Anolis sagrei: one gene and its partners. The protein of the gene in region 2 interacts with the protein of the main gene of each other region in a pairwise test. Links are inferred from orthologs where the notes say so. Each region holds a gene or a part of one and is shown on either strand. Other genes may lie near its edges.

Region 1 (11,130 bases), on a different chromosome or scaffold from region 2:
TGGTAACTGTAGATCTTAATGCAGTGATCCCAACAGTCTAAGACTAAGAGCTGTCCCTTGGGTGTGATAGCGATGCCAACGGGACAGATGAGTCCCTCTCGGATTAAGATATTATAGCCGCCCCCCTTGGGGAAATGCAGGATCTCTTTCCGGCTGCTGTCGGCAACAATCAAGTCCCCCCGGGAGTCAACGCACATCCCAGCGATGCATCGAAAGTCCTCGTTCTCAGAGAAGAAGTGGCTGATTTGCCTGCCGAGCTGCCCGTCCGGGCCGACAGAGCCGATCGAAAAACCCCCTTCCAAGTGATGTTCGTGCTGGCGGTTTTCGAGATTCAACCCCAGTCCCTGGGTGAAGTAGATCATCCCTTCGGCATCGCAAGTCACAAACTTTGGCCGCACCGCGCTGCACAAGCAGCTGTACTTCACCACCCCGACCCCACGGTCGACGGTGAAACACCAAAGCTTTCCCCCTTCCACGTCCGTTACGACGAACTGTCCCGACGGGAGAGCGGTGATGCCCCATGGCTTGCTCAGTTGACTCCGGTGACAGGCCACACAATGCCCGTCGATGGTGTAGACCTTCACCGAATTGTCGTAACTGTCGGTGACGCCAATCAAGCCGTGACAGTTCATGGTGACCGAGAGAGGAGTCAAGTTGGGCAGATCCGCACCTAAGAAGCTGAGTACGAAGCTATCGATGCCGCTAGGGCTCCGGCGAATCTCCTTCAGGAAGCCCTTGCGGGTGAAGACTTGGATACGGAAGTTTCCACGGTCGGCTACAAGCACTTCTCCTTGGGGGGTGACGTGCAGGCTGACTGGCAGGTTAAACGTCCCAGGCGTGCTTCCTTTGGAGCCCATCTTCTTGAGGAAGTGGCACTGCTGGATGCTGGTGGCCGCTTCAGGCACCCTCGGCTTGGCAGGGGAAGGGCAGCTGGGAAGAGAGTTGGCTTCCTCCTCTGCCACGTCGGCCTCCCTAAAGGACACCGAAGCCGCCGCCGCTGCCATCTCCATTAGCGATTCCTCCACGTTGATGCTTCGCGGTTTCTTCACCACTTGTCCGATCTGAAGCGGACCAACGCGGCCCACCTTCAGCAGCTCCACGTCTTGCAGGGTCAGCTCTTTGGGGAGGCTGTTCATCAACTCCGGCTCCTCCTCGTCCCCGCCTTCCTCAAGAAGGGCCATGTCCCCCTGCTTGATTTTGGCAAGGAAGTAGTCGCACCGAGACACGATCTGCACCTCGGCGATGTTCAGCAGGTAGGCTTGCTCCTCCATGATCTGGCTATTGACCTTCTCCACCTCCGAGAGGGAGTTCGTGAAGAACTTACGAGAACGTGCCAACTCCTCTTGGACCTTGCGCTCTTCTTTGCCGTACTCCTGCAGGACCGCTTTGTACCTGACTTGGAGGTCCTTCGAAACCCCTTCCAAGGAGGTCTTCCGTTTCTGAAGGTCTCCCATCAGCTCCCGCAAGCGGCCAAGCTTGGCTCCGAACTCCCTTCTCCGCTCGTCGGCGGCCTCTTTGATGACCACCACGGCGTGACCCTGCTGCGTGTGGTCGGCCTCCTTACAAGGCTCGCAGAGGACCAAGCCGCAGCTCTTACAGAAGTGCTTGGGTAGTCGGCGCCCACACGCCTTGCACATTAGGAGGCCCACAGTCTCGCCAAGGCCCGCCGTGTCGATGATCTTCAGCACGGTCAGGTTGTCATTGAGCTGGGCCAGGTTCGTGATGCGCGTGACTTTGCTACAGAACGGGCAGCGGATCCCGTTGATGCTGTTGGCCAGGAGCTTCTCAGAGCACTGTCTGCAGATGGTGTGCCCGCAGTGCAGCAGCTTCGGCCTCAGGTGTTCCTCGGTAAAGCACTCCATGCAAATAGGGCACTCCAAGACTTCACGTAGAGCGTCTGAGTTGAGTTGCGGAGCAGCAGCCATGGTTGCCATGGGTAGGCTGGTTGCATTTATTCCAAACTTTAGTCCTGAATAGGAAGAGAGAAAGAGAAGAGATTGATCTCTCAGTGCTGACATTCAGCCTCTATAGGATTCTAGAGTTGGAGAAGACCCCAAGGTTCCTCGAGGACAATTCAGGAAGACATCATGCAAATATTCCCAACAAAATTGCCATCCAACCTTAGTAGATAACCCTCGTTTCATCAATTTATTTCTTGGATGTGACTTTTCTCAAGTTCAAACTTTATTTATTTAATATTTACAGTATTTATATTCTGCCCTTCTCACCCCACAGGGGACTCAAGGCGGATCACAATGCACATATACATGGCAAACATTCAATGCCATCGACACACAACATATATAGACACACAGAGGCTATTTAACTTTCCAGCTTTTTGAATTCTGGCCACCAGGGGAGCTGTCGCTTCACCATGCACTTGTGACACCGTTTGAATACTTCCTCATTCTTTTACATGCTGCTGGAGAGTTTTATGGCATCGTAAATTAGTTAAATTAGCCTTCCTGCATAAGCGATACCTAAATTTCCTACTTGTCTTTCAGGCTGCAAAGGTCGACAGCAGACTGAGAACACAGCAAGCTTAAAAATGTAGTTTGGAAAGGCGAGGCCCCCAGTAGCAGAGAATGCAAGAAAACCCTGCCCCAAACTACATTTCCCAAAATGCAATGCTCAGCATCAGAAAGACCCAGTGATGGCTGCAGCCAGCTGACTGTTCAGAGTCAATCTAATAATCAAAAATAAAATTATTTAATCTGATGAATGACCAGCTCTCTTTGGCAGAGAAAGGTGATGGCCTAATAATAATAATAATAATAATAATAATAATAATAATAATAATAATAATAATGTAATAATACATAACATACTAGTAAAATAATAATAATAATAATAATAATAATAATAATAATAATAATAATCTGGTGAAGCACCAAGACTTCTTTGGCAGAGAAGAGTGATGGCCTAATAATAATAATAATAATAATAATAATATTAATAATAATGAGGTCTAGCCCTTCACCAAACTACAACTCTCCAAAGCTTTCTCGGTCAAAAAGTTGTAGTTTGGTGAAGAGGGCCAGCCCTCTTTGGCAGAGAATGGTGATGGTGTAATAAGAATAATACAGTAGTAATAGCAATAATAATAATAAGAGTAATAGTAGTAGTAGTAGTAGTAATAATAATAATAATCTGGTGAAGGACCAGCCCTCTTTGGCAGAGAATCATAGAATCATAGAGTTGGAAGAGACCTCATGGGCCATCCAGTCCAACCTCCTGCCAAGAAGCAGGAAAATCGCACTCAAAGCACCCCCAACAGATGGTCATCCAGCTTCTGTTTAAAAGCCTCCAAAGACACTATTATGCCATCAGAAGGGTAATGGCATAATGACAACAATAATAACAATACTACTAATAACAATACTACTACTAATAATAATACAATAATGATAATGATAATAATAATAATAATCTGGTGAAGGACCAGCCCTCTTTGGCAGAGATGGGTGATGGTGTGATGATGATGATGATGATGATGATGATAATAATCTGGTGAAGGACTAGCCCTTTTTAACCAAGAAGGCTGGAGGCCTAATAATAATAATAATAATAATAATAATAATATAGTAAGAATAATAATAGTATAATAATAATAAAAATGTGGTGAAGGACTAACCCCCTTTGGCAGAGAAGGGTGATGGCGTAATAATAAATAGTAATAAAAATAGTAATAGTTTTAATATAATAATAATAATAATAATAATAATAATCTGGCAAAGGACCAGCTCCCTTTGGTAGAGAAGGGTGATGGCATAATAATAATAATAATAATAATAATAATAATAATAATAATATAGTAAAGGTAAAGGTAGTCCCCTGACATTAAGTCCAGTCATGTCTGACTCTGGGGTGTGGTGCTCATCTCCATTTCTAAGCCGAAGAGCCAGCGTTGTCCGTAGACACCTCCAAGGTCATGTGGCTGGCATGACTGCATGGAGCGGTACCTATTGATCTACTCACATTTGCATGTTTTCGAACTGCTAGGTTGGCAGAAGCTAGGGCTGACAGCGGAAGCTCACGCCGCTCCCCGGAATCGAACCTGCGACCTTTCACTCAACAAGCTCAGCAGCTCAGTGCTTTAACCCACTGCGCCACCGGGGGCTCAATAATAATATAGTAATAATAATAGTATAATAATAATAATAATAATAATAATAATAATCTGGTGAAGGCCCAGCCCCCTTTAGCAGAGAATGGTTGATGGCCTAATCATCATCATCATCATCATCATCATCTGGTGAAGGCCCAGCCCACTTTGGCAGAGAAGGGTGATTGCCTAATAATAATAATAATAATAATAATAATAATAATAATAATAATCTGGTGAAGGACCAGCTCCCTTTGGCAGAGAAGGGTGATGGTGTAATAATAATAATATAGTAATAATAATAGTAATAATAATAATCATCATCATCATCTGGTCAAGGACCAGCCCCCCTTTGGCAGATGGCCTTGCAAAACCACAACTCCTAGGGTCCCATAGCATCCAGCTATAGCAGCTAAAGTGGTATCAAACTGCATTAACTGGACAGTGTAGATGCACCCTGTGTCTCCTAATCTGCATGGATAGATTCCAAAATCAGATTTGGGGGAGAGGAAATCCTAAAATGAAAATACAGATCCCAGGCATTTGAGGACAAAGGCAGACTTGTATGCAGAATTACATAAAAGAGCTGATTGCAGCATTTCTTGCAAATCTCTGCAGCAAATCCATGAGGAATGCAAGCTGGGGGAAAGCTAAATAGGGGATCAGAGGCTGAGAGAGTGTGCCTGCCCATGGCACCTCTTGTGCATCCCAAAAAAACCCCCAAAGCAGAGGCCCTTTCCTACCTGCTTGGCTTGCTTTCGCTTTGCAGGCTTGCTTTCTCCTTCCAGCAGCTGCAGCAAAAGCCTTTGTTCCTTCCTGGGCTCTGCGCTTGCGCAGTCAGTCCCCTGCGATGCACCGCCCCTGCGCCTGCGCACACGCATGTACACAAAGCTTCCAGGGAAAGCCGGGGAAATGACGTTCTTTCCTAAGGTACCGAGTTCGAATCCCGGGAAGGTCATATAGAAGTAAGATTTTTTTTTTAAAGGTTAAAAATCAGAATTATAATCTGGTGTGTGTGTATATATATGTGCTTTATTATAAGAGCAGAAAAAATAACTATGTCATACAAACTAACACTCTTTTGAGTCTAATACATTACTGTCTAATTCAAAAATGGAGTCTCAGTCTGAATAGTCCCAGATCTGATCACATAGTCAGTATTATAATCTGGGGTGTGTGTGTATATATGTATGTGTTATTACATGAGCAAAAAAAATAACTATGTCATACAAACTAACACTCTTTTGAGTCTAATTACTGAACACTGTTTAATTCAAAAATGGAGTCTCAGTCTGAATAGTCCCAGATCTGATCACATGGTCAGTCAGTATTATAATCTGGGGTGTGTGTATATATATGTATGTGTTATTATATGAGCAGAAAAAAATAACTATGTCATACAAACTAACACTCTGTTGAGTCTAATACATCACTGAACACTAATTCAAAAATGGAGTCTCAGTCTGAATAGTCCCAGATCTGATCACATGGTCAGTCAGTATTATAATCTGGGGTGTGTGTATATATATGTATGTGTTATTACATGAGCAAAAAAAAAATAAGTCATACAAACTAACACTCTTTTGAGTCTAATACATTACTGTCTAATTCAAAAATGGAGTCTCAGTCTGAATAGTCCCAGATCTGATCACATGGTCAGCAGTCTCTCCCACAAACTTAACATAAAGGGAAAACTGTATACCAATATACAAATATTAGCTTGTGTTGCCAGAGTTATTTGGAAAAGCCACTTTTGTACCAAATGCATAAGGTTGTGGGTGAACTACAACTCCCATCATGCCAGGTTCACCCCCTGAAAAACTCCATCTGTACTTAAAGTTTGTGAAAAGCTTGGGTTATTTGGAAAAGCCACTTTTGTACCAAATGTATAAGGTTGTGGGTGAACTACAACTCCCATCATGCCAGGTTCACCCCCTGAAAAACTCCATCTGTACTTCAAGTTTGTGATGTTGGGGAAGTTTGCTCTAGATGCATCATGGGTGGGGTTCAGTGTGCTCTCTGGTTGTGGGTGAACTACAACTCCCATAGTGTTAAGTCAGTTGCCTCAAAGCCCTACAGTAGGTTGAGTTAGTTATGGGGGTTCTGTGCACCAAGTTTGGTCCAGATCCATCATCGGTGGAGGTCACTGTTTCCCTGGTTGTGGGTGAACTACAACTCTCCCAACCTCTCCAGTATTTTCAGTGTGCTCTCTGGCTGAAGGGTGAACTACAATTCCCACTATGGTGAGTCAGCCTCCTCAAACCCCACCTGAGGGTTTTGTATGCCAAGTTTGGACCAGGTCCATCATCAGTGGAGGTCACAGTTTTTCTAGTTGTGGGTGAACTACAACTCCCAGAAAGGAAAATCGGTTTCCCCAAAACCCCTTTAGTAATCACATGTCAGCATACCAGGCCTGTGTGCCAAGTTGGGTCCATATCCATTGGTGTTTGGGTTCACAGTGTTCTCTGGATGTAGGTGAACTACAACTCCCCCAAAGTAAGGTTAATCTCCCCCAAAGACCTCCAGTATTTTTTTGCTGGTCATGGCGGCTCTGTGTTCCAAGTTTGGTCCAATTCCATCTTTGGTGAAATTCAGTGTTTTCATTGTTTGTAGGTGAACTATAAATCCCAGTACCCACAACTCCAAAATGTCCAGGCCAATTCCTTTCAAAACCCATCATTATTCAAATTTGAACATATTGGGTATGCATGCCAAGTTTGGTCCAGATCCATCATTGTTTGGGTTCATAGTGTGCTCTGGATGTAGGTGAACTACAACTCCCATAAATCCCTCCAAAGACCTCCAGTATGTATTGTTGGTCATGGGGGGTTCTGTGTGCCAAGTTAGTTCCAGATCCATCATTGATAGAGTTCAGAGTGATCTTAGATTGCAGGTGAACTACACATCCCAGTACCTACAACTCCTACAAATCATGAATTCTCCCCAAACCTCTCTAGTATGTTCAGTTGTTGATCACTTCCTCTATTTGCTGTGCCATAGAAATAGGAAAGGTTAAGGGAGAGGCAGTGGTTGGAGTCATGCAAATTCCACGCTAATGGAGAGAGAAAGGAACACTAGGATGTCTGTGGTGGAGGAAACATATACAATCTAGGATGAAATTGTCCCTGTATGAAAGCCTTCACTTGGATGGTGGGAAGTGTGGTGTTTGTAGAGGAAACATTTTGAAACTTCCCTTTTTTCCCATAGGAAGTCTTTGGAAACATTGTTTACTTTTCCTAAAACAATCCCCATTGTTTACCATTTGTGTTGCCATTTTTACAAACAACTAAAACAGACACAGTTGTCTCTCAGGGCCCTTCCACACAGCCACATAATCCAGATTATCAAAGCAGATCATCCACAGTATCTACTTTGAACTGGATTATATGAGTCTACACTGCCATATAACCCAGTTCAAAGCAAATAATCTGGATTTTGTATGGCAGTGTAGAAGGGGCCTCAATAAACCTCAAACTGGGTTGCTTTGAGTTTTCTTCACTGTCCATGTTCCGGAAGCATTCCCTCCTGATGTTTCGCCCACATCTATGGCAGGCATCCTCTGAGGTTGTGAGGTCTGTTGGAAACTAAGCAAGTGAGGTTTATATACCTGCGAAATAATGTCCAGGGTGGGAGAAAGAACTCTTGTCTGTTTGAGGTATCTATTGCACTGATTGTTTTTAAGTGCAGGCCAAGACCTTTAGGTACTGCACCCAGTGTGCCGATCACCACTGGCACCACCTTGACTGGCTTGTGCCAGAATCTTCGCAGTTCAATCATCATTATTATTATTATTATTAGGTTGTTGTGAGTTTTTTTCAGCTGTCTGGCCATATTCCGGAAGCATTCTCTCCTGATGTTTCGCCTGCATCTATGGCAGGTATCCTCAAAGGTTTTGAGGTCTGTTGGAAACTAGGCAAGTGGGGTTAATATACCTGTGGAATAATGTCCAGGGTGGGAGAAAGAACACTTGTCTGTTTGAGGTACCCATTGCACCGATTGTTTTTAAGTGCAGGCCAAAGTCTTTAGGCACTGAACCCAGTGTGTCGATCACCACTGGCACCACCTTGACTGGCTTGTGCCAGAATCTTTGCAGTTTGATATATTATTATTATTATTATTATTATTATTATTATTATTATTATTATTAGGTTGTTGAGAGTTTTCTGGGCTGTCTGACCATGTTCTGGAAGCATTCTCTCCTGATGTTTCACCCACATCTATGGCAGGCATCCTCTGAGGTTGTGAGGTCTGTTGGAAACTAGGCAAGTGGGGTTAATATACCTGTGGAATAATGTCCAGGGTGGGAGAAAGAACTCTTGTCTATTTGAGGTACCCATTGCACCAATTGTTTTTAAATACAGGCCAAGATCTTTAGGTACTGCACCCAGTGTGCTAATCACCACTGGGACCACTTTGACTGGCTTGTGCCAGAATCTTTGCAGTTCGATCATTATTATTATTATTATTATTATTATTATTATTATTAGGTTGTTGTGAGTTTTTTTCAGCTGTCTGGCTATATTCCGGAAGCATTCTCTCCTGACATTTCGTCCACATCTATGGCAGGCATCCTCAGAGTTTGTGAAGTCTGTTGAAAACTAGGCAAGTGGGGTTAATATACCTGTAGAATAATGTCCAGGGTGGGAGAAAGAACTCTTGTCTGTTGGAGATAGGTATGAATGTTGCAATTGGCCACCTTGATTAACATTTAACAACCCAGCAGTTTTCAAGGTGTGGCTTCATACTGTCTGGGGGAATCTTTTGTTGAGAGGTGATTAGCTGTCCCCGATTGTTTCTTGTCTGGAGTTCCCCTGTTTTTGAATGTTGTTCTTTATTTACTGTTAGGATAAGCATACAAACATATATACAAACAAACAAACAAACATATATATTGTTGTTGTTCATTCGTTCAGTCGTCTCCGACTCTTCGTGACCTCATGGACCAGTCCACGCCAGAGCTCCCTGTTGGCCGTCACCACCCCCAGCTCCTTCAAAGTCAGTTCAGTAAATATATATGTGTGTGTGTGTGTGTGTGTAAACATATATATATATATATGTTTGTTTATATATAAACACACACACACACACACACACATATATATATATATATACATACATATATACAAACATATATATAAACATACACACATGCCTGCAGACACACACATACATATATACACACACACATATATACACAACCAAACATACCTGCAGGCATTCTGTATAAATAAAAATGTATTTCCATTGATGGGAACCACATATCTCCCAAACCTTGAGAAACTACAAGTCGTTTCCGACGTGAGAGAATTTTCCGTCTCCAAGGATGTTCCCAAAAGGGATGCCCAGATGCTTGACCATCCTGTGAGAGGCTTCTCTTTAAAGAGATGTGAGAAGTCCAGGGTGGGGAAAACAACTCTTTTCTGCTTGAGCCAGGTGTGAATGTTGCAATTGCCCACCTTGATTACCTTTGAAAAGCCTTGCAGCTTAAAAGCCTGGCTTCTTCCTGCTTGTGGGAAACCATTGTGGGGAGGTGTTCCCTAGAGGAGATTGTTGCATGTCTGGAATTCCTCTGTTTTTTAAGGACCACAGCAACGCATGGCTGGGTACAGCTAGTGTCATAATACACATGTCATATTGATTCCATTTGTCCTATGAGTTAAACTTAGCCGCACTTCAGTGGACACATGGCGCATTGCACCCTCTTGGTAGTCTCTGGCCCTCCATTGAAGCCTTAGGGACCCCTATCTGCCCTGGGCTTTTGTGTGTTATCCTTTGTCTCCCTCTGGTGGGCACATCGCGCATTGTGCCCTCTTGTTAATCTGATCCTCCATTGATGCCTTATATTAATTATTATCATTATTATTATTATTATTATTATTAATAATAATAATAATAATAAATTTATGACATTTATAGGCATCTATTTGCCCAGGACTCCTATGTGTAATCTTTTGCCATTGGTTTTCTGGCCATGTTCCAGAAGCATTCTCTCCTGACGTTTCACCCACATTCATGGCAGGCATCCTCTTAAGTTGTGAGGTCTGTTGGAAACTAGGCAAGTGGGGTTAATATACCTGTGGAATAATATCCAGCGTGGAAAGAACTCTTATCTGTTGGAGACAAGTGTGAATGCTGCAACTGGCTATTTTGATTAGCATCAAATTGCTTTGCAGCTTCAAAGCCTGGCTGTTTCCTGCCTGGGGGAATCCTTTGTTGGGAGGTATTATTATTATTATTAACTTTATTTGTATCCCGCTAGCATCTCCCGAAGGACTCAATGCGGCTTACACAGGCCAAGGCCTCAATAAAACAGCAATATAACAAATACACATACACCAATAGCAAATCAAAACATTAACCAATAACAGTAAGCAGTAAAAACAGTACACCATAACACAATAAAAAACTAGGCCGGGCCAAATGTGATGGGTACAGATTAAAAATGGTTGTTTCCTGCCTGGGGGAATCCTTTGTTGGGATGTGTTAGCTGGCCCTGATAGTTTCCTGTCTGGAATTCCCATTTTCTGAGGGTTGTTTTTCATTTACTGTCCTAATTTTAGAGTTCTTTTAATATTGGTAGCCACAAAACAGGGAATTCCAAAGTGGACCAGCTAACACATCCCAACAAAGGATTCCCCCAGGAAGGAAGCATCTAGGCTTTGAAGCTGCAAGGCTATTCAATGCTTATCACAGTGGCTAATTGCAACATTCACACTTGCCTCCAACATACAAGAGATATATTTTTCTCCCACCCTGGACATTATTCTACAGATAGATTAATAGATTGATAGATTGATAGATAGATACATAGATAGATAGATAGATGCATAGATACATAGATAGATAGACTGATAGATTGATAGATTGATACATAGATAGATAGATAGATAGATAGATAGATGCATAGATACATAGATAGACTGATAGACTGATAGATTGATAGATGCATAGATACATAGATAAATAGACTGATAGATAGATAGATAGATAGATAGATAGATAGATAGATAGATAGATAGATAGAT
Region 2 (11,427 bases):
CTGATAAAAGTGAACCTTTGTATGACTATATATCCCTGCAGTCATGCTAAACATGTGCTTTCCTTCCCTTCCCCCTGTGTGGACTACTCCAGCACACGTGTGCTTTTTAAGAGCCCAAAACAGCTGATCGAGCTGTCAAACAGACACACAGGTGAATCAAGAGAACCCCAAATGAAAAGCAGTTAGAACTCTCCGAAACTCGCTTACACTTTGTAATATTAAACAGAGCTTGAATTAACAACTGGGGAAAGGAAGATCTGACAGAAGTTTTTTAAAAATTCCCTCCGTTATGCGCTGGATGTCATATGTGCACATGCAAATTTGTTTGTCTTTATATTAAGATATTTACATGTGTGCATATACAATCCAGTGCAAAACGGACGGAATTTTACATTTCAAAAAACTTCTGCTGAATGTCCTCCATCTGCTCTCCAGCTTGTGAGGACAGAAGGCTGTGAGGACGGCAGGAGACAATACCTTGGGACTGACAGGTATTTGTGTGGACCTGCTGTCAGGTCCCGGTATTTTTTTTTTTTACTCATTTCTAAAATGTGGATTTTGGCATTATCTAGAAGTGCCCTCGGAGGGCAGAGAGCTTTGTTGGGCAGGTCTCCTGGTGGAAGTATTTTCATATTTGGTGCTACTGTTGAAAAGGAACTGCTCTTCATAAGAAGACTTCAAATTTCATAAATGGAGGAGGATCATAGAGATTTTAAAAAGTGCATGCTGCCTTGCTGGCTAGGAAAATGCAGACATATACATATATGTGTGTGTGTGTATACACACACACCAAAATGTCTTTAAATAGTCATTACATCTTGGTGTACATTTTTGGAAAACCTTAAAACACTGCATCTTCAGCGGCCAATGTATTGGTTTTTTGAAAATGAGGACAGATGCATTGACTAGTACTTTAGCAACTTATTTTTTGGGGCTTTTTAGCAAGCCACTCTTTTTCAACCTAATCAGCTTTGGATTACTTTGAGATGCAGTCTTAAGTTCTTGGAAAAAATGTAACTATATTTGGGAAGAAAAAGTTGCTGTAAATACTGCTGATAAAGCATTGTAATGATAAAATTACTTTCAGTTACTGAAGTACAACCACTGTCTGAAATCTAAAAGTACAATGGTGCTAGTTTTGCTGCCAGTCCTTCACCTCTGAAATGGACAACAATTAATAACATCCTTACCATTGGGATGGAAAGGAATGGTGTTGAAATTAACTTGTGGGGGGATTTTGTTGTAATTTTCATTGTACAGCAGTGATAGTTGGAGTTCGGCTCCTAATACAGAAAAAATAAATTACATATAAGAAGTATAACACAGGTACAAACAAAACAATGTTACTTTTCTTTAGTTTACTACCATTTGTTTAGCCTGCCTTCCTCAAGTCAATTAATTGGATTGATTTGAAATAAAGAATTATCATTTTGATATACTTTAATATTAAAAACAAGCAAAAAAAAAAACACCCCAATGTTACTTTAACTTAGAAGCAAATCTTGTTGAATTTAGTGGATGCAGACTGAAGCCTTATGCAGATGTCTTCATTTCCAGTTTTGAACAGAAGGAAGGACATTAATAAACAACAACAAGAGTTTTTAGTTAATCTCGACATTTCACAACATGGACCTGAATTAATTCCTTTCAGTAGGAAATAGGCAGCTGTTATCTCTTGCACCTTTGAATTTATATCAGGCATGGGCAAACTTAGGCCCTCCAGGTGTTTTTGACTTCAACTATCACAATTCTTAACAGCTTACTGGCTGTGGGAGTTGAAGTCCAAAATACCTGGAGGGCTGAAATTTGCCCATGCCTGATTTATATGCTTGTTATTTGCCTGTTTTATTCTAGCTTGGAGACAAACCTGAGGGCTCATCCAGACAGGACCCATAACACAGGCGCGCCTACGGTTTTACCAGAGGTCTCCAAACAATGTCTCTGGTAAAACCGAATTAATTTGAGATAAAGCAGGAAAACTCTGCTTTGTCCCAGATTAATTTGATAATTAATTAGACCTGGAATTTCCTGAAAATTTCAAGGTTTTAGGAAGTGGGATTTGGGTTTTCCTCACTGTATTACAGTTATTACTGTGCTATAACGGGGACAACGTATGGGAAAGCCTGCTTCTTTTGGGTACCCGTGCGTACAGCTACACTGGAGAAAAAAGGTTACTTTAACCGGTTTTCTCCCATGGTAAATTGCTGTCTGGAAGCAGCGTGAGTAACAACTTGATTATCCATTTAAAAAAATGTGGGCCCTAATATATTTGCAGTGTTGACCTGGGACCAACCTCCCCCCATCTCTCTCCCCTCTCTCTCCGAGTTATCCTGCCATTGTGGGATAATGCTCACCCTACCTAAGACCATAGGCTTCCAGTATGTTCCAATTGTCCTATGTATGACTAAAACTCAGTTGACACCAGAACCTCTAATCCACTTTCACGGCACCGACTTCATGACCCTTCCATCAATTCCACTTTCCTCCTTTCTTTTTGTAATATAATGTATGATAAGATCCCTCAAAAGCTTGCACGCAGATGGTTTGTCCTTATAAGATAAAGCATCATCTAACTGTGGAGTTTATGACAACATAGATTGCAATATGCTCTGCAAAAACTTTATTGAAAGCATGAATGCAAGATTAATATATTTTATCCATAATTGTTTTAAGCATATCATATCACATCGTACAAAAAAAGTTGGGAAACAAGATAGCTACCTTCCCATAGGGAATCCTTCAGTCCTTCTATTTCAGCTATCCATTCCATCAAGTTGTCTCCCACGGGAGTAATAGAAATACCCTAAAGAAGAGGGAAATGGCAGTTGACTATTACACTTCTTAATACAATGACCTGAATCAGGCTTAATGGAAGTCCTTCCCCCTACTTTTGCATATGTCACAGGAAATTGTTATGTAAAAATACCACAACTATTAGCTGACACTAGCTGGGTTCTGGACCATTGGCTTGGAGTGCATCTCTACTATAGCACGGCTACAGTTTGACACCACTTAGCTGCTATGGTCCAATGCTTTGGAATCTTGGGAGTTGAAGTTTTACAAGGCCTTTACCCTTCTCTGCCAAGGAGTACATGTCTTGCTAAATTGCTAACCTCAGGATCCCATAGTATTGATCCATGGCAGTTTAAGTAGTATCAAGCAGCATTAATCCTACTGTGTAGAGCAGGCATGAACAAACACCTTCAGGTGTTTTGGACTTCAACACCCACAATTCCTAACAGTTGTAAGCAGTTAAGAATTGTGGGAGTTGAAGTCCAAAAGATCTGGAGGGCCGAAGTTTGCTCATGCCAGGGTAGAGACATTCCAAACCATTGGTTCAGAACTCAGCTAGTGTGACCAGTAGGGTTATTTTTATCTAATTATGATTGTAGTCATTGTAGGTGGAATTTCTTTAATAGCCTTGCATAATGACAAATCACCACAAACCCAGCTTTTACCTGACACACCTTCCCCCCATGAGGGATGTAGAGAGGATTTTGGCCCATGTGTGATAATGATGTTCAAGAACTTCCCAAGGCTGCAGAAAATCTCCCACAGTGCTCCACTTGCTGGGAGGCATGGGGAAGTTGCCACCCCACGCCCCACATTGCCTGTCAGCTGAAACCATGGGGGAAGCATGGTGCATGTGTGCAGTGTGCAGCTTTCCCCCCTTAAAGTCAACAGCAACAGGTGAAGTCTCCTGTGTTGCCATGGTGGTGACATGTGCTGGCTCCAACCACCTTCACCCATGGAAATGCCAGCTGGCTTCATGGGGTGATTGGGGCTAAATTGGCACATGCCACTGATTTCAGCCCTGTGTGATGAGGTCCTAGTGAACTGTAACTTACTACAATATAACCCCCATATGCATGGGTTTGATATTCATGGTTTCACTCATCTATCCCTCGCCCCAGGCCTCTCTAGGTCCTTCAGTGCAATTCTGTAGTATGACTCCTGTCTAAATAAGTGGGCTGGAGTTTGGTACACGGACCCCTGCTTATCATTAATATAAAGTATGGCAATCTTATGATCAAATATGGAAAGAAAGAATGCTGCATCCCAAGCACTAACTTTTTCATTAGCAGTTTTTATAGTGAGAAGAGACAAGTTCCTAGTAAACCTATGTAGCAAATTGTTTCTCCTACCCCTTGGAGGGCGGAGTGTCAGTCATTTAACTCAAATCATTTAAGAAGGGTGAGGCTTTCTCTTTTGTTTATCTAAAAAGTTTAAATAAAACCTCTCTATCCAGCCAGGGGATTGTTCCAGCCATTCTAGATTTATAGGACAAGAGAGAGAATGAAAGTGCAGCTCTATTATACTAATACTCAGGACAACCACTCCAGTTTCAGTATCCCTTATCTGAAATGTCTGAGACCAGAAATATTCCATATTTCAGATTTGTAGTGAATTTTAGAATGCTTGCATATACACAATGGGATATCTCGGGGATGGGACCCAAATCTAAACATAATGTTCATTTATCTTTCATATAATCTTACACATATAATCTGAAAGTAATTTTATACTCAATATTTGTGGAGGAATCAAACTTTCTGTACAGAAAGGTGTCACCATCTTAGCCAAATCTGGAGTATTTTGGATCTCAGAATTCTGGATAAGGGATACTCAGCCTATAGTAACCTTGGAATGTTGTGTGGTTAGTAGACTCAACCTATAGTAACCTTACGACTTCTGAAGATGCCAGCCACAGTTGCATGTGAAACTTCAAGAGAAAATGCTTCTAGAACATGGCCATATAGCCCAGAAACCACACAACACTCCAGTGATTCCAGCTGTGATAGCCTTCACACAATATATAGTGACCTTGTTCATTATAAACAAACTGGGTGCAACCCAATGGTACTCACAAAGATGTTAGACTCTTCATACTCCATAAACTCTTTTTCCAGCAGTAAGAAAGCTCTTGTGTGCATCATGATTGCAAAAATCTTCTTCTTGTTTGTGTTTCAGTTGTTTGAGGCCAAAGAAAATCTGGAGAATTTGTCCTAAAGACAGGTGTGAAGGTGAAATGGGGTGATAAAAGTGATTCTCTTTAAACTGGTACACCTCCTCATGTGCCAGGCAAATACAAGTAAATGGAACAATCTCTTTCCAATGCAGTCCTAGAAGAGAGGATCTGAATCCCATAAACGTTAAGCTTTAAGGTAGTTTTTGTGTCAGGGGCAGCAAAGAGATCCACTTTGATCCATTGCTTCTTCCTATACAGCCTCAGCATCCACAGGAAAGGCAAAGCGAGGAGGCTAGAATACTCAGTGTATCAAACGTAACCTAGCAACACAAAGCTGTGTACAATTTGTTTGGAATAGAACTCTCACAGCCAATTGGAACAGGTTTTCTTTTCTCCTTCTGTAGTCATCCAATTAGAAGCCACTTTTTATCCAGACATGATTACATCGGTTCTCATTTTCTGCAGAGGTCAGATTACAAGAGGGCAGGCTTTGAAAGCTAGGAGAAGTTCAGAAAAGACAATTAAACTACCCAGCCTCCCCTCTTACATCTGTCTGATTGTTTGGCTTAAGCAGCCCAGAGAGATGTGTATGGACTATCGAAGAAGTAACAGAATCATTGGGTAGGAAGGGACCACAAGAGCCATCTATTCCAACTTCTAACTTGAAATTTGGCTGGGTGGGGGGAAAACTAAGGAAGGTGATGTAATAGCAATATTCTGTCTTAAGATAAGCAGGTTGAGAAAGGTGACATGGATCCCGTGGTTCTTAGGGCCCTTCCAGACAGCCCTATATCCCAGGTTTTCTGCTTTAAACTAGATTATATGAATCCCTACTGCCAGATAATCTGGGATAAACATAAAACCTGGGATCAGAGCCTGGGATATACGGCCTGTCTGGAAGTTTTGGGAAAGGAGTATTTCCTCCCCATTTGGCTGTGATTATATCTGGACAGTTTTTCAAGAAAGTCATATAACTGCAGCATTCTACTTAGAAGATTTTATTTTATTTATTTTGTCAGGAGTGAACTGAAGGTACAGTTGTAATGTATTTAAAAACACAATCAAAGTGAAAATCTTGGCATTATACTAAATGTCCTTTGACCAGATGTTGGCCACTTGGAGTGTCTCTGGTGTTGTTGTAAAAGGGACCTTCATTGTGCATGCGGCAGGGCTCAGACTGCATTGTAATAGGTGGTCTATGGTTGCTCATCTCCACACTTGCATGTTGTGGGCTCCACTTTGTAGCCCCATTTCTTAAGGTTGGTTCTGTATTTTGTGGTGGCAGAGCGCAGTCTGTTCAGCAACTTCCAAGTTGCCCAGTCTTCTGTGTGCCCAGGAGGGAGTCTCTCGTCTCTCGTTTGGTATCAGCCATCGATTGAGGTTCTGGGTTTTAGCCTTCCACTTTGGACTCTCATTTGCTGAGGTGTTCCTGTGAGTATCTCTGCAGATCTTAGAAAGCTATTTCTTGATTTAAGGTGTTAGCGTACTGGCTGATATCCGAACAGAGGATGGGCCGGACATGTAATTGCCTTGGTCCTTTCATTATTGGCTGCTACTTCCCGGCGGATGTCAGGTGGTGCAATACCAGTTAAACAGTATAATTTATCCAGTGGTGTTGGGTGTAGACATCCTGTGATAATATGGCACATCTCATTAAGAGCCACATCCACTGTTTTAACATGGTGGGATGTGTTCCACATATTCAGCAGCAGAGTAGCAGAGCGCAAGGGCAGATGTCTTCACTGTGTCTGGTAGTGATTCCTCAGGTTGTGTCAGTCAGCTTTTGTATATTATTACTAGCACCCACTTTTTGATTGATAGTGCTTCTTGTAAGTCAGAGCACAGTCCAGGGTAACACCCAGGTATTTTTGTGTGCTGCTATGCCACAGATAATCCTCAGAGCTTTTTTAAGGCGAGCAAGAGAGAATAAATGAAAATGAATTCACACGTTTTCTTAACACTTCATATCCAAACATTCCCTATCTACTTCTCTAATCATCTCTTGGAATTCCAAAAGGAATACATCTTGTTCTGCTGGATACCTCTAACTTTAGAGGTCTCTTGTTCTTTCACTTAACCCACTTTTCTTACATACATAAAACAACATTTGTGTCAAACGAATCTGCAAGATATTTTCATTTTGTTTTTGTTTGGAGTTTCTTTCATTGGTTCATTTTTTAAATTTGTGGTATGCATTCATCTCTTCTTTGCACAGACTTTTTTGGGGGTCTATTTAAAGAAACATTACTTCCCTGAATGAATGGAAATGGACTTTGGCAATTATGGCTGGTGAGCTCCATCATCCCTTCCTCAAATACTTCAGTGCAGAATCATTCCAAAGCAATTTGATGATGGTTGGATTTCAATTACTTTTATGATCCAAATGCCCTGGAATCCTGTTGCCAGGGCATCCTGGGAAAAGCAGAAGCTGCCAAAAGCAGGTATTTGCTCTGAAGTCCAAAGAGGCATATAATCTTATAGAGCTGTTAATGGAAGCTTTGAATGGGACTATCATTCATTCACATTTGATCTATTGAACATTTGTTTCCATTTGAAAGCAAATTGGTTGGAGCGAGCCTTAACAGTTTCTGTTTGTTTCAAACTGAATGTACACCTCATAAACTTCATTTGGAGGGTTACCTGGAATCTTGCTTCTTGGAATGTGTGTTCGCTGTGTGCTTGAAGGCGCTGTCTTTAGCTGGCAAAGCCGTAGAGGGTCCTCTCCTGGCGTTTGAGGGCATAGACCTTCAAGTCCATTTATGGTGACCCCCATGGACAAGGACTGTTGTAGAGCTGTTTTTGCCAGTTTCTTCCTCTTAAATAGAGCTGGCAGCACTTGATATTCATTGGTGGCTTCTCATTCAAGTAATAACCACAGCTGGACCCTACTTAGCTTCAAAACTAGTGCTTTTAGGGATAGTTAGGTAAGGGTTTTCTTAAGATCCTTAGTGCTAAATGGAGCAGAATGATAGCTATACCTGGAAATGAAATCAGCCTGCCACTCTGTGTACTCTACAGGTGCTTTTAATAATTCTACGTCTTCCACTCCTTCAGAGATCAGTTTGGTAAATGTTTACAGTGTTACATCTGAATTTTTAATACTTGCTATTACACTGGCAATATAACTGTTCTTATGCTTTCCATATCAAAGACGAAGAAACGAGGCTGTATCATCATGTTCCATAAAAAGGCAATGTTTTTAAAAATTGTTGCCACATTGAGGAATCAAGGGTTTTGTAGGCCCACAGAGAGACTAACGTTGTGCTGAATGATGACCTTGGTTATTGAAGATCCAGCCAGGAGACAGACCTCTTCGGAAAATTAGTGGATGTGGTTTGTATGAATAAGAGCTGTATCACCAATCTCCAGCATCAATAAACCTTTCTGATACAGCTGTATTTTCCATGTTCAATAGAAGAGGAGAATTTGGCAACTATTTCCTGTTGACAGAAGAAAATATTCATAACAGATGGAAGCAGGGAGAGTATTTTATTCATTTTTGTTTTATTCGTTTTTTCTCTAGCTCTAGGCATTACATATATTATTTCTAAAGATTTTTGAAATGTTGAATTTGTTAATTGGTTCTGGCACCTTTTCTGAACATGCACATCGATAATCCTGCAAAGCTGAACAAATTGAAATACCAAAGATCTAAGGCATTCATAATTAGCATGTATAGTACTCCTTAGCATGCTCAAAGTGCCTTATATACATTAGCGTGTATTGCTCTTTCCTCCAAAGTGAGTGTATCCTTGGAAGCTCAGTATGTGAATTGTAGTTCCAGGATCAGCAAATATTCCTGATGTTGTGTGCCTTCTGTCTTATGGTGATCCTAAGACAATTGGATCATAGGATTTTCTTGGCAAGATTTGTTCAGAGAGGAATTTGCTTTTGCCTCGTTTTGAAGCTGATAGAATATGGGTTTCCACGGCCGAGCAGGGATACGAACCCTCATCTTCTGGAGTCTTAGTCCAGTATTTGAACCACTGCATTTCACCAAATCTGTACGCAAGCCACTACATTATACTACACCTTCAAGTCATTTCCAACCTATGGCCTTAAGACAAACCTATCATAGGAATTCCTTGGTAAGATTTTTAAGTGGGTTTATTTTTTTCTTACCTTTGCCAAAAGAGAGTGACTTGCCCAGTCAGTTTCCATGGCTGAGGTATTTGAATTCTGGTTTCATGTTATAGACTCAGCAAACCACACTGTCTGATAAAATCATTAAAATAAATACCATAAAATCACATTTTGATTCTTTTTTTGGGGTCAAGCACTCATCTTCCTCTATGTTTACACAAGTTCTCATGCACTTTGCAATTTTTATTTTCAGTCTTGAACTCACTGTGTGGCAGTTCTGAATTTAATGGTGACACTATGGAAAAAGGTTCTCCCTGTGTCATCATGTTTAGGTCAATAAAACTGCACTTATTTCATTCCAAATCATGTGTCTGGTCTCTGTGTTTTGTTACTGGTGTTCAATATCCCTGCTGAAATTCATTTTGTTAGTTTTGGCTTAGCTCTCCAATCTCTTATAGTCGTCTTGAATTCTGATGCAATCTCAAGGATCCCTCCTAATAGGGTGTCATTTGAATATCTGATAAGCAAACGCCCGGTGGCGCAGTGGGTTAAACCCTTGTGCTGGCAGGACTGAAGACCAACAGGTCGCAGGTTCGAATCTGGGGAGAGCGTGGATGAGCTCCCTGTCAGCTCCAGCTTCCCATGTGGGAACATGAGAGAAGCCTCCCACAAGGATGGTAAAACATCAAAACATCGGGGCGTTCCCCTGGGCAATGTCCTTGCAGACAGCCAATTCTCTCACACCAGAAGCGATTTGCAGTTTCTCAAATCGCTCCTGACATGAAAAAAAATCACCCAAGTCTTACATAAAAATGTTGAAGACTACTGGTCTCAGGACACAGTATCATGGCACCCCACAAGTCACTTCTCTCCAGGATAAGCCATTGGTAAGCACCCTCTGGGTTTGGTTGGTCAGTCAAGTATAAATCCACTTAACAGTAGCAGTTTGCTACCTCATTTGCAAAAATATTATGGGAAACCTTGTAAAAAGCTTTATTGCAATCTAAGGTATGCTAGACCCATAGTATTCCTTTCATTTACAAAGTTTCAAGCCCTATTAAAAAAGAGAGGTATGATTAATCTGCAATTACTTGTTTTTGAGAAACTCATGTTGCCTTTTAGTGAGACATTCCTAAGCTCTTACAAACTGTTTATCTCTAAAGCATTTGAATCTTTTTAAATTTCATTACCTATAATAGTTTCAAATATTACTTTTAGAGCATTTGAAAAAGGTGCAGAAATGATTTTACAATTCAAGATATTTTTCTCTCTCTCTGGTCAGAAACCATCTTAGCATCTGGTTTTGCAATCTGGAAAGTGTTTGGCAAATATATTTTTTCAGCATTATCCAATTTATGTTGAGGAGCTTTTCTTTCTTTATTATCTCCCTGTGGAATTCAATTTGTTGTTTCACCATTTTATTAACAAAGTGCATCTTGCACATGAGATATGTTTCCTATCATTGACAAACTTTCCATTGAGAAGAACAGCTAGTCTACTTACCCAGAGTATTGCCTGCAATTTACATTGTATGGAAGTGTAGTTTTCTGAACTTTCCCTATAAAGTATATGATGATGGAAAAGCCAGAAACACTGGAAGACCATATACGGTTGGATTTTCTTTGGGTTACAGAAGACTCAAAAGCAGCCATGAATCCATCTGGTTTTTAGTGCTCTTGATTTTTAACTTTGTTAGTTATGACCAGACTACCATTTTTCACAGTCAAGCACATAAAGGGCACATCTACGTAAACATATAACCCAAAGGGCAGAGAGAGAATTGGTTACATGATGCACAGAGCCGATTCAGGTTAACATGACCTTGAAATATGTTAACAAAAGTCGTGGGTTGCTTTGGTGTTTTCCTGGGATTCCAAATAAACCAAATTTGTTTCAGATTCTCAGAGTCGGTTCCGAGATCAGAACTGGATTCAACTGTTTATATGGCGATACTGTATTCCTGGGCTGGGGTGGTCCAAGGACATGGGAGATCAACTACCTTCCCTGTTCATCCATCCTACTGTTGTGTTCTGAAACTCTCCTTTAGTGATAGGTATGACATGAGCCAAGAGATAGGAGTGACAGGGAGACAGAAGGTAGGAAAGGAGAGGGTGAATCCTCCCTCCCCCCCTCTTCTTCCGCATGGCTTCAGCACCTCAGCTGACATTACATTTGTCACCAAGGGAGGGCTATCGGCCATTTTCAGGGCTGGGCTTCACAGCAGTGGAATGGCCAGACAAGCAAAGGTTAGCTATCTCTGCAGTGACCTAGGAGCTGATAGCAAGAAGTATATGGGAACCAGTCTGGAGTCTGACACTTCAGATCAGCCTGAGATATTGTGTCCATGCAGAACTGCCCTAAAGCTGATTGGACAA
Region 3 (11,398 bases), about 87 Mb from region 2:
TCTCACATATTTATACATGGCTATCATATCTCCTCTCATCTTCTTCAGGCTAAACATGCCCAGCTCCTTAAGATACTCCTCATAGGGCTTGTTCTCCAGACCCTTGATCATTTTAGTCGCCCTCCTCTGTACACATTCCAGCTTGTCAATATCTCTCTTGAATTGTGCCCAGAATTGGACACAATATTCCAGGTGTGGTCTAACCAAAGCAGAATATCTATAAGTACAATGTAAATACAGAAATGTCCCCAGAGTGACTCACGCTCCCACCTCCTTCGCAGGCGCTATTGGTGGGGACGAGGGAGAGTGCCTTCTCGGTGGTGGCCCCCCAACTCTGGAACTCACTTCCCAGGCACATCAGATATGCCCCAACTCTGGCAGTCTTTAGGAGGAGCATGAAAACGTGGTTGTTCCAGTGTGCCTTCCCAGAATAATGAAAACTCTCAGCAATATGCCCTCAAAACGCACTTTACCACTGATTTAGGACTGACTGCATGCCCTCATTTCTCTCTGAAAATCCTATCCCAGTTATATCCTACCTTGTTCACGTCAGCATTATTTTTTTAATTTTAATCTATTACATTTGGCCCGGCCATTGGTTTTAAATGCTTGTATGTCACTGTTGATTGTTTATTGCTTATTTTTTGTTTATGTGATTTATATGAATTGTATTGTATTGATTGTTTTATTGATGTTTTGTTTATTGATGTATTGTGGGCTTGGCCTCATGTAAGCCGCTCCGAGTCCCTTGGGGAGATGGTAGCGGGGTACAAATACAGTTTTTAAAAAAATTATTATTATTATTATGTCCTGTTGCTGTAAACTTCAGCAAAACTATCAGTTCAATTGATCATGAGAATACTCAATTCGTATAGTACACAAGCATAGGGAGCTATTTACAATGGTGTAACAAACCTAATATTCATAAAAATGAACAAAATCTGGCTACTAGTACTAAAAAACACCCTCTAAAATCACGACAGAAAGTAAAGACTCAAAAAGCCAGGGAAGCCCAGACAATCCAATCAGGGCCAGCTAACACCTCCCAACAAAGGATCCCCCAGGCAGCAACCAGTCAGGCATTGAAGCGACAAGACCATTAAATGCTAATCAAGGTGGCCAACTGCAACATTCACACCTTCCTCAAGCAGACAAGAGTTCTTTCTCCTACCCTGGACATTCCACAGATACGTAAACATCCTTAGGCAACAGACCTCACCACCTTTGAGGATGCCTGCCATAAATGCAAGTGAAATGTCAGGAGAGCCCAATCCCCTGAGAAATTTCTTTCTACTCATCTTCCCCCCTCTAAACCAACTAACCCCCAAAAGTCCCAGTGAAAAATATTTTGTTCCAGTTTTAGTGGTGGGGGAGGATCTATGTGCCAAATTTCGTCCAAATCCATCAATGATGAGGCTCGCAGTGGTCTCTGGATGTGTGTGAAGGTACTGCAACTCCCATCAATTTCTAATTTCTATGTATGGTTCTGAAAGTAGACAGTTAATTTTTTGTGCCCATTTTTACTTTCAGTATTGTTACAATAGGGCGAAGACCAACTTTTTAATGATGTTTGTAGATTGGTCTATATAGCTTTGCATTCTGTTTTGACCAGAGTCCCCAGTGTGACTCACAAAATAAAAACAATTTCATTAAAGATTAAAGATGATTACAGTTGTTCATTTGTTCAGTCATTTCTGACTCTTCGTGACCTCATGGACCAGCCCATGACAGAGCTCTCTGTCGGCTGTCACCACCCCCAGCTCCTTCATGGTCAATCCAGTCACTTCAAGGATGCCATCCATCCATCTTGCCCTTGGCCGGCCTCTCTTCCTTTTTCCTTCCATTTTCCCCAGCATCATTGTCTTCTCTAAGCTTTTCTTTCTTCTCATGATCTGGCCAAAGTACTTCATCTTTGCCTCTACTATCCTTCCCTCCAGTGAGCAGTCGGGCTTTATTTCCTGAAGTATGGACTGATTGGATCTTCTTGGGGTCCAAGGCACTCTCAGAATTTTCCTCCAGCACCACAGTTCAAAAGTGTCTATCTTCCTTCGCTCAGCCTTCTTTATGGTCCAGCTTGCACACCCATACATTACTATGGGGAATACCATTGCTTTAACTATGCGGATCTTCATTGCCAGTGTAATGTTTCTTCACTATTTTATTGAGATTGCCCATTGCTCTCCTACCAAGAAGTAAACGTCTTCTGATTTCCTTGATGCAGTCTCTGTCTGCAGTAATCTTTGCGCCTAGAAATACTAAGTCTGTCACTGCCTCCACATTTTCTCCTTCTATTTGCCAGTTATCCATCAGTCTGGTCGTCATAATCTTGGTTTTTTGATGTTTAACTGCAATCCACAATTTCTTCTTTCACCTTGGTTAGAAAGCTCCTCAATACTGTGTTAAACAATATAATGTATTATGAAATAATACCTGAGAAAAATAAATTAAGCACGAGCTCTGATCTGTAAAATGATCAGATAATAGAAAAGGACTGTAGTGCCAAAAGGATCTTCAGAGGACTTTCAAAGTTAAGAGAAAGATTTTTTCTTTCAGACATGCATAATACACTTTCCCCAAAACAAATGGGAAGAGATGCTTTTTGAAATATTGGGAACCATGCTGTTTAGAGTTTTACAAATAAGCACCAGTACCTTGAGCTGGACTTGGGGGAGCCCTTATAGTGCATTCTAACTTGATGTACTGTGTCATGAATGTATCAGAATAAACCAGCCTGAGGTACAATGCTTTTGAATTCTTTTCATGGATGGTGTGATGTAATACAATAAATCAAAATTAATGAAAATAAATATTATTGTATAACGATTGACTGATCAGGAACCGCCATGCGGCTCTAGTTCAAGGATAACAAAAGAGGCAGAAACACACTACCACTTCAGGATAATTATGTTGAAAACACAACTGAAACAGAATGCTATAAAGAAATGCAGATTCTGGCAAGTGGTTGTCTTGAAAGACAACCCTCTGCTCTGTAAACAGAGCTCTGTCATTAATCTTGACAAAAATAAGACTGTAGATAGTACTCTGATGTACAATGGGCTCCTATGGCTAAGAAGCTAAATTAGTAATTAGGTTGTTACATACTTTTGAAAGAATGGAGAGTACTGTGAAAGTCCAAAATTAAATATAATTACCACGTAACTGAGTTTTTGTACCTGCATAATGGTTCTCTCTGCAGGTAAAAAACAGAAACGATCTTCTGTATATATGGTAAACATGATCTGCCCGTAGTTTGCAGTGGGTAACTCTACTGGCTGGCATCCAATTTTGATCTTTTGGATTGAAGGGAAAATAATTAAGTACTTCATAAATCATCATAACTGCATCACCAAGAGAAATGTTAAATGATTTTTTTTGATAGTTCGTATTTCAGATACTATTACTATTATAGGTGGTCTAATGTTTTTTATTCTAAGAATTCGCCTACTTAAAATTAATGCATAACTCTTGACTTCTGTGTTCTGGTTTTGTCTATCACATTGGGAAGATGGGTTTTTTGCTTTATTATCATATATTCTTATTATGTCAGAATTAGGACCACAGTATTTGGTTATAATTATGGTTGATTAACATATTCAGACAGGAGTCAGCATGATGTATACTTTAGAGCAAATTAAAATCACAACACCTTTGTACTTTAGTTCTTTCAGCAATGATAACTCCAGGGGTGTGCTGCTCAGGGCCCTTCCACACAGCCATGTAACCCAGAATATCAAGGCAGAAAATTCCATAATAATTGCTTTGAAGTGGGCTATCATATTCCCCACCATTGGCTATGCAGTCCAACATTTAGAAAGCCTCATGATTTCTGTCCCTGGTGCAACCAGTAACATGTTGTACTGACTTTTACTTACTTTTCAAAGTTATTTAAAGAGTATTTTGATAGGCATGTTTCAATTTCTCCCTTAAACAATCCATAATGAGTGCCCAGTATTCATATTGGCTAGTAATGCATATTGACAGAAAGAAAAGGAACAAAGTGGTATTTTAGTAATAAAACTAAATTAGTAAAACTAAAGTATAGATTGTTAGATACTATACAACAGCTCTTCCCAACCTGGGACTTTCCAGCTGTGTTGGGCTGCCAGTCCTAGCTAGTAACAGGATTGTAGGATTTGTAAACAGCTGGAACGTGCTAGGTAATTTAAACTTCAATAGAAGAAAATTGGAGAAAAGGGCTGCTTTCTGGTGTCCGGATTAGCCAAAAATTATATGCTGTTTTCCTCTGCCAGGCTTCGAATTTTATGTCAGTAATTAACATAAAAGCAACTCGGTGCTCTTTTCACCAGAAGTTTTGAATTTTAAAAATAGGGGATTGTATTCACTTTTTGACACCTGCATCAGTTTGAATGAGGAAACCCCTTCCACACAGCTGAATCAAATCCCACATTTTCTGCTTTGAACTGGAATATATGGCAGTGTGGACTCAGATAACTCAGGGCCCTTCCAGACAGGCCCTATACTCCAGGATCTGATCCCCGGTTTTCTATTCATCCCAGATTATCTGGCAGTATGGACTCATATAATCCAGTTTAAATCAGAAAACCTGGGATCAGATCCTGGAATATGGAGCCTGTCTGGAAGGATCACCTGTTCAAATAAAAAAATTGTGGGATTTTCTGCCTTGATATATATGGTTATATGGCTGGGCCCTCTGTCCAGTATTTATTTTCTGAAACTAAATCTGAGGGATATCCACTAAAACACGTGAAGAATATACAGTACCTGTGGTCACATATCTTAAGCATATTACCCTTGATCTAAATAATTTGAGTAATGACTGCACCCAAATTACTTCAGCAAGCAACATGGAGAAATTCGGTTTAATCGAACATCTCCCCCAAAATATGCTGAAATATTTAATAGCTTCTGGAAAACAGCAAATTATCTGTTGGCAAGAAAGCAAGATTGAGGCTGCCTCAACAGGTATAACCTCAGATTTAGACCAATTAGCAGTATAGTCAGATAGGGTCCTATGGGTATAAATTAATTTTATCAACTCTGATAAAGAAGATTCAATTGAGAAACACACAGCAAAAGATTAGCACTCACAACACTCTGCCTCATTCTCATGCTTTTCACGTGTGTACCCAGAAAATAACTAAACGTGTTAAAATTTCCCAGCCAACCTAATCTAGTAATTGTAGAAAGTAATTCAACTTCATGCTCCTTTTGTCCCACTAGAAAGCGGGAGAGGAAAACCCTTTGCACGCAGGCGTTTGGTGAATAAGTTATTATGGAATTAGACTTCAGCAGCCTGAATAATGACTTTGGACTTTGGAAAATGACTATGTATGAGATCAAGTCTAGGCAGTTTATATGGGTTTAATCTGTTTTTAATTGTTCATATGTTTAACTGTTTATAATTTGATGGGGTGTGTTATGTCCATGTGGCATTGAATTTTGGCAGAGTTAGTAAGCTGCCTTGAGTCCCCTGAGGGTGAGAAAGGCGGGGTAAAAATGAAGTAAGTAAGCGAGTAAGTAAATAAATAAAAATCAAACCAGCTTTGATATTAGGTATTGGCCTTAAGCAGCAGGAATGCTAAAAACAGACAATAGTTTTAAAAGTGATGCTTAAAAAGTCAATGTTTTCATATGTATGGATTATGACCTTTTGATTTTTTTTTTTTTACAAACATAACCTATTTCATTGTGGAAAAGTACCTCATCAATTAAAATTTCTTGCATGGAGCAAATATTCTGCTTATGTCTGTCCTTTAATCTGTATAATATATAGTTTACATGCATTTTATATCTTGGTAGTGTTACCCTTGGTTAGGGGCAAAGGGTACAGGGCCCCCAAGAAAGTGGAACAAACACAAATAAAAAAACCTGTTTTTTTAACACAGATCTCCTCCCTATAAATTTCTGGGTCCTCCAACCCAAAGTCTGGCAAAAGTGACCACAGACTTGCACTGGAGGACTTAGTGATTCAGTCTAAACCTATACACTATTTAAACATTTACTTATTTATATGCAAGGTACATATTGGATTGCTCACTTTTTTACTGACAGGCTTGAATACATATTACTGTCCTAAACTCAAAGAGTAACAACTTTGTTCTCCTTCTTTTATGTTGTTCCTAAGAGTACTGGTATAGTACATATTTCCTGATAATCACATTGCTACACTGAGTGAGCATCTTTCTTTTGTGGGAAGGCTTCCTTACTCCCTACTTCAGTTGCCAAGGCAGTAGTTCTCAGAATCCTTAGAGTCTTAGACAGACTCCTCCACTGTATTCCTGACCTGTAATGCAGAATGAATTTGCCCTTTGTAGGAGGAGGAGGTGCCTTCAGACACAAACTGCCTGTATCAATTTCTGTGGGGCGAAAAAGCCGGCTGCATTTGTAAATCTCCTATTCAGCTGAGGACAGTTCTAAAGAGTAACAACTCTGCCGTTCACAGACTGAGCCCAAGCGGAAGATGTATGAATGGCAAAGGAATTTCCATAGTAGTTAGCAGTTGTCCAATTCTGTCTGGTGAGCATGGAGATAACTTCTGAAGATCCTCTTGAAAATATGGAAAGATAAGTATGCAAGGAAATATGGGCAAAATTAAGAAGCATAACAAAAGTCTACTTCAGGTTTTTTTTTTTTTTGTAATTTCCTGGACCTGAAGCTGTTATTACTACCTTATCTGCCTCATTGAAGAAAGCTCCATCGGCTAGAAGAGAAGAGGCAAGACACAAGCTGCATCCAGTAGAACCAGCTTCCAGACTGTTTTAGACTCTATTCTCTGCCAAAGCACAGAAGAAAGATGGACTCACTCTATGCTGCTGTATAATGGTAAATATATTGTGCATATAATCTTGGTTTCCCAAATCTTTTCACTCTCAAAGCTTCTTTTGCAAACTGTTAGCTTGGCAAATTTATGGCAAGGCATTGCAGTCATATTTGTGGTGAAGTGGAAATGTGTGTGTGCTGGGCATGATGCCTTCTAGTGGTTCAGTTATGCTCTTACCGCAGTTTTCTTGAAGCAGCTACGGTACATTCACCCATACAGCATTGCCACAGAGAAAGCTTGTGGAAATTTGCCATTAAATTCAGTTCAGGAGACCCAGAAGAACTACCCACACAGTCCTCATCAGGACAAAATTAGATGCCCATGTGTTGAAGAATATGCTGGTGTTTATGGCCTTTTAAAAGACCAAGCTCTCTTGCAAGGTATTATCATTTCCTAATATTTGAGTAAAATTGGTGCATTCATGATCTGTTCCATCCAGGTCCACAGTGTGGAAAATAAGTCTGATCCTGCTTAGCTTCCAAGATTAGATGAGATCTGGTGCCTTCAGACAGGCTAATACATTTATGTGCTGGATATTCTTACAATATGATTGTTCACTTAGCCATGTCTGAAAAAATGTCCTATCTGGACATTTTTCTAAGTCTCCCAGCATGATTCTATGGTATGCTTCCTCCTGAAGCTGACCAAGTTGCAGTGGAGGACCTAGAAATAATGGAAAGACCTCTCTAGGCATTTTCTAGGTCCTCTAGTGCTAGTCTGTGGTGTGCTTTCATTTCAGTCGTTCATTTCAATAAGGTTCATGATTACCCAGTTTCACATCTTCACAGTAAGCCCAAGAATGTTTTCCTTTCTGATACGGGGATCATGTTGTATATCTGACACTGATCAAAATATTGGCACATAATTTTCCAAGGAATATATTATAGTTGCTGTATTTATTCAGTTCCAAGACATACTTTTCCCTATACTGTATAAACATCTCTAAAAATGTATACAAATACACACACACAGACACACACAGAATAATAGAATTATAGAGTTGAAAGAAACCACATGGGCCATCTAGTCCAACCTGTTGCCATGCAGGAAAATCACAATCAAAGTACCCCTGACAGATGGCCATCCAGCCTCTGTTTAAAAGCTTCCAAGGGAGGAACTTCCACCATACTCTGAGGCAGATAGTTCCACTGCTGAATAGCTCTTAACAGTCAGGAAGTTCTTCCTAATGTTTAAGTGTAATCTCCTTTTCTGTAATTTGAACCCATTGCTCCAAGTCCTAGTCTCCAGAGCATCAGAAAACAAGCCCGCACCCTCTTTCTTAGGGTATCTTTTCAACTATTTAAACATGGCTATCATGTCTCCTCTCAACCTTCTCTTCTGCATGTTAAACATACCCACCTCTTCAAGATGCTCTTCATAGCGCATGATCTCCAGACCTTTGATAATTTTAGTCACCCTCCTCTGGACATGTTCCAGCTTGTCAATACCTCTTAAATTGTGATGCCCACAATTTGACACGGTATTCGAGGTGAGGTCTGACCAAAGCAGAAAGAGAGCCACCATTATTTCCCTTAATCAAGATACTGTATTCCTTTTGATGCAACCCAAAATTCCATTGGCCTTTTAAGCTGCTGCATCACATTGTTGGCTCATGTTTAACTTGTTGTTCACTAAGCCAGGCATCACCCATCCTGTATCCTTGTGTTTCATTTTTTCTGCCTAAGTGTAGTATCTTACATTTGTCCTTGTTGCAATTTATTTTGTTAGTTTTGGCCCAACTCTCTAATTTGTTTAGGTCGTTTTGAAATCTGATCCTGTCCTCTGGAGTATTAGCTATCCCTCCCAATTTGATGTCATCTGTAAACTTATAAGCATGCCCTCTAAATCTTCATCAAAGTCATGAATAAAGATGTTGAACAGAACTGGGTCCAGGACTGAACCCTGCGGCACTCCACTAGTAACTTCTTTCCAGGATGAAGAGGAACAATAGGTGAGCACCCTTTGGGTTTGGTCAATTAATCAATTAAAAATCCACCTAACAGTAGTATTAGCTATCCCACATTTACTAGTTTATTTTGAAAGAAGACCACGGGGAACCTAGTCAAAGGCATTACTGAAATCATGATATGCTACATCCATAGTATTACCTGCATCTATCAAGCATGTAACACACACATATATAGCATTTTTCCTGTTGGTGATACTGAAAGTAGAGTGTGTCTTACAATTAGCCTTTCCAGACAGGCCGTTATCCCAGGAGCCTCTGCGTTTAAAAAATGTGGAGGTTCCTGGGGGCTTGTCCACACACACCCCAGAAAGCATGTGATTTCTGGGGTGGGTATCCAGATGTCCTTCAGGGAGACCCTACCCCCCTCCCAAAAATCCTAAAAACCCCTTTAAAAATAAAATAGGATAGCTGCAGCAGCTCTCCTGGTGCGTAGAAATGACACACCAGGAGAAGCGGGGGGGGGGGGGGGAGTGGAGTGATTTTCCTCCCCCTCCTGGCACGTCATTTCTATGTGCTGGGAGAGCTGCTGCAGCTCTATGGAAACCGGTAAGTACTTTTATTTTTTAAAAGCTTTTTTTAAAGCACTTTGAGGGAGGGGTGGGTATTCCCACAGTTTTCTGGGCTAATTTAGCCTGGAAAATTGTGGGAATGGTGTCTGGACTGCAGTCCAGACACTAGAAGTATTGGGTTTATAAAGTATTGGGTTTATAATATAGAAGTATTGGGTTTCTAAAGTATTGGGTTTATAAAGTATTGGGTTTATAAAGAAGTATTGGGTTTATAAAACCAGGGTTTTCCTGGTTTGTGGTGAATTAATTCGGGATTGTCCAGAACGTTCTGCAATAAAAGGACAGTCCCATTTTTATTGCAGAAATTTCTGAATAAAGGGGCTGTCTAGATCCACCCTCAGAATAGAAGAAAGTATACACAATGTCACTGAAGGCTGGGATAAGGTTAGCAACAGTTATAAAGTAATTTCTTCTTTAAAGTCCTTGGGAATCACACAAACTGGTCTTTGTGCCTATACACGGTCTCATTGGGAATGTTTTAGATTTGAGCAGCTTTGGTGGGAACTATACCACCTCACACCTGCTCCTTCATTTCTTTTTAGTTCACTGTGTTCCTTTCAACACACAATGTCCTTCAAGCACTATCAAGTTGAGAGCACACTAGTGTATACTGTATTGGAATTTTGCCATCTATCTTCACTTGAATTTTCTATAATGGGTTAATCAACTATTTGTCTGAATCCTAGAGGTCCTGAAGAAAAAGTTGTTTATCTGTAACTGGTTCTTCAAGTAGTTATCTTTGAACACAAACAATCTACTTATTTCCCTATTTTACAGGTCCAACTAAGGAAAGTAGCTTTGGCACACTGGTCCATGCGCATTGGAAACAGTATTGAAAAGGGAGATGGTACACATTGCTGCGACGTCTGCAGTGGCAATAATTTTGCATCTCCCTTGCAATAGTGCCTTTAAAAGTCAATTGCAGAAAAACAAACCAATAGCACCATTCTAATGAAATTTTGTTACACCCCTGTTACAAAACTGTCAAACAGCAATGAAAATAAATTTAACATGCTTGCCACAAAACAAGACCATTGGAAAATCCTGAATCACCAGCTTTCCTTGGCTTGAGAAGGGCTACCTTAAGGAAACCACAACATACTTTCCTGTTGGAATCCTTGACAGTCCTGAAGCTTGATATTCTGCTGGTATTAAGCAAACAAATGGAATACTTTGGCATGGCTGTAGTTTCTGACCTTAAAGAAACCTCGCCCTGATCTCATCAATGCCGGTTCAGTTTCAAAGGCCTCTTACTTGTGCTGACTTGGCTCTTTCTGTTGCAGATCATGTCCCCAAAGGGGTTGACCTTCCACTTCAATAAGCATGGCCTTGTAGTATTTTTGTTTGTTTTGGTTTATTTGCTAACTTTTCCTTTCATTTAGAACAGGGGTTGGCAAAATATGCCCTTTGAGATCTTTTTGGACTGTATTTCCTAGCATTCTGCAAAAGAGTTGTTGGGAGTCATAGCCCAACAACATTTGGAAATACATGTTCCCCGCCCCAGACTTCTAGGTAGATTCACAAAAAATACATTTGTATTATCTATTGGTTACATCTCTAGTTGTCCTTTCCTCTATTGAGGTCAAGGCAACAGACAGGGATGCCCTGACTTTCATGGTTCAGTGCAGATGTCAGGAATGTATGTTTAGGCTCTGCCATGCTTTCTATAACTTTGCTTTGTGCTTTTGCTATGTATAACAACTGCCCCATATACACTGATATATAATGCAATTTCAAATGACATCATATGGTCAGTGTAAAGTAAAGGTAAAGGTTTCTCCTTGACATTAAGTCTAGTCGAGTCCAACTCTGGGTGGTGGTATTCATCTCCTTTTCTAAGCCAAAGAGCCGGCGTTGTCATGTGGCCAGCATGACTGCATGGAGCACCGTTACCTTCCTGCCAAAACGGTACCGATTGATCTACTCACATTTGCATGTTTTCGAAGTGCTAGGTTGGCAGAAGCTGGGGCTAACAGCGGGAACTCACCCTGGAGATTAGAACCGCCGACCTTCCGGTCATTAAGTTCTGCCGCTTAGCAGTTTAACCTACTCTGCCAC

Evidence for each region.
Region 1: the proteins of UBE2U (region 2) and TRIM32 interact in binary tests that used the Homo sapiens proteins (3 or more experiments, as listed by UniProt). The link is inferred for Anolis sagrei from reciprocal best matches to the Homo sapiens genes UBE2U and TRIM32.
Region 3: the proteins of UBE2U (region 2) and RNF144B interact in a two-hybrid assay, tested with the Homo sapiens proteins (2 studies listed by BioGRID and IntAct). The link is inferred for Anolis sagrei from reciprocal best matches to the Homo sapiens genes UBE2U and RNF144B.

Annotation. Positions count from the first base shown.
Region 1 is NC_090031.1:11,303,379-11,314,508, reverse strand, and holds the start of TRIM32 (E3 ubiquitin-protein ligase TRIM32), read right to left. Parts: upstream 4,952-11,130; 5' UTR 4,849-4,951; intron 1,970-4,848; 5' UTR 1,935-1,969; coding exon 1-1,934. UniProt on the Homo sapiens protein: E3 ubiquitin ligase that plays a role in various biological processes including neural stem cell differentiation, innate immunity, inflammatory resonse and autophagy.
Region 2 is NC_090024.1:166,391,978-166,403,404, forward strand, and holds the start of UBE2U (ubiquitin-conjugating enzyme E2 U), read right to left. Parts: upstream 5,073-11,427; 5' UTR 4,938-5,072; coding exon 4,869-4,937; intron 2,804-4,868; coding exon 2,722-2,803; intron 1,284-2,721; coding exon 1,191-1,283; intron 1-1,190. UniProt on the Homo sapiens protein: Catalyzes the covalent attachment of ubiquitin to other proteins.
Region 3 is NC_090024.1:79,797,395-79,808,792, reverse strand, and holds the start of RNF144B (E3 ubiquitin-protein ligase RNF144B), read left to right. Parts: upstream 1-6,399; 5' UTR 6,400-6,788; coding exon 6,789-6,804; intron 6,805-11,398.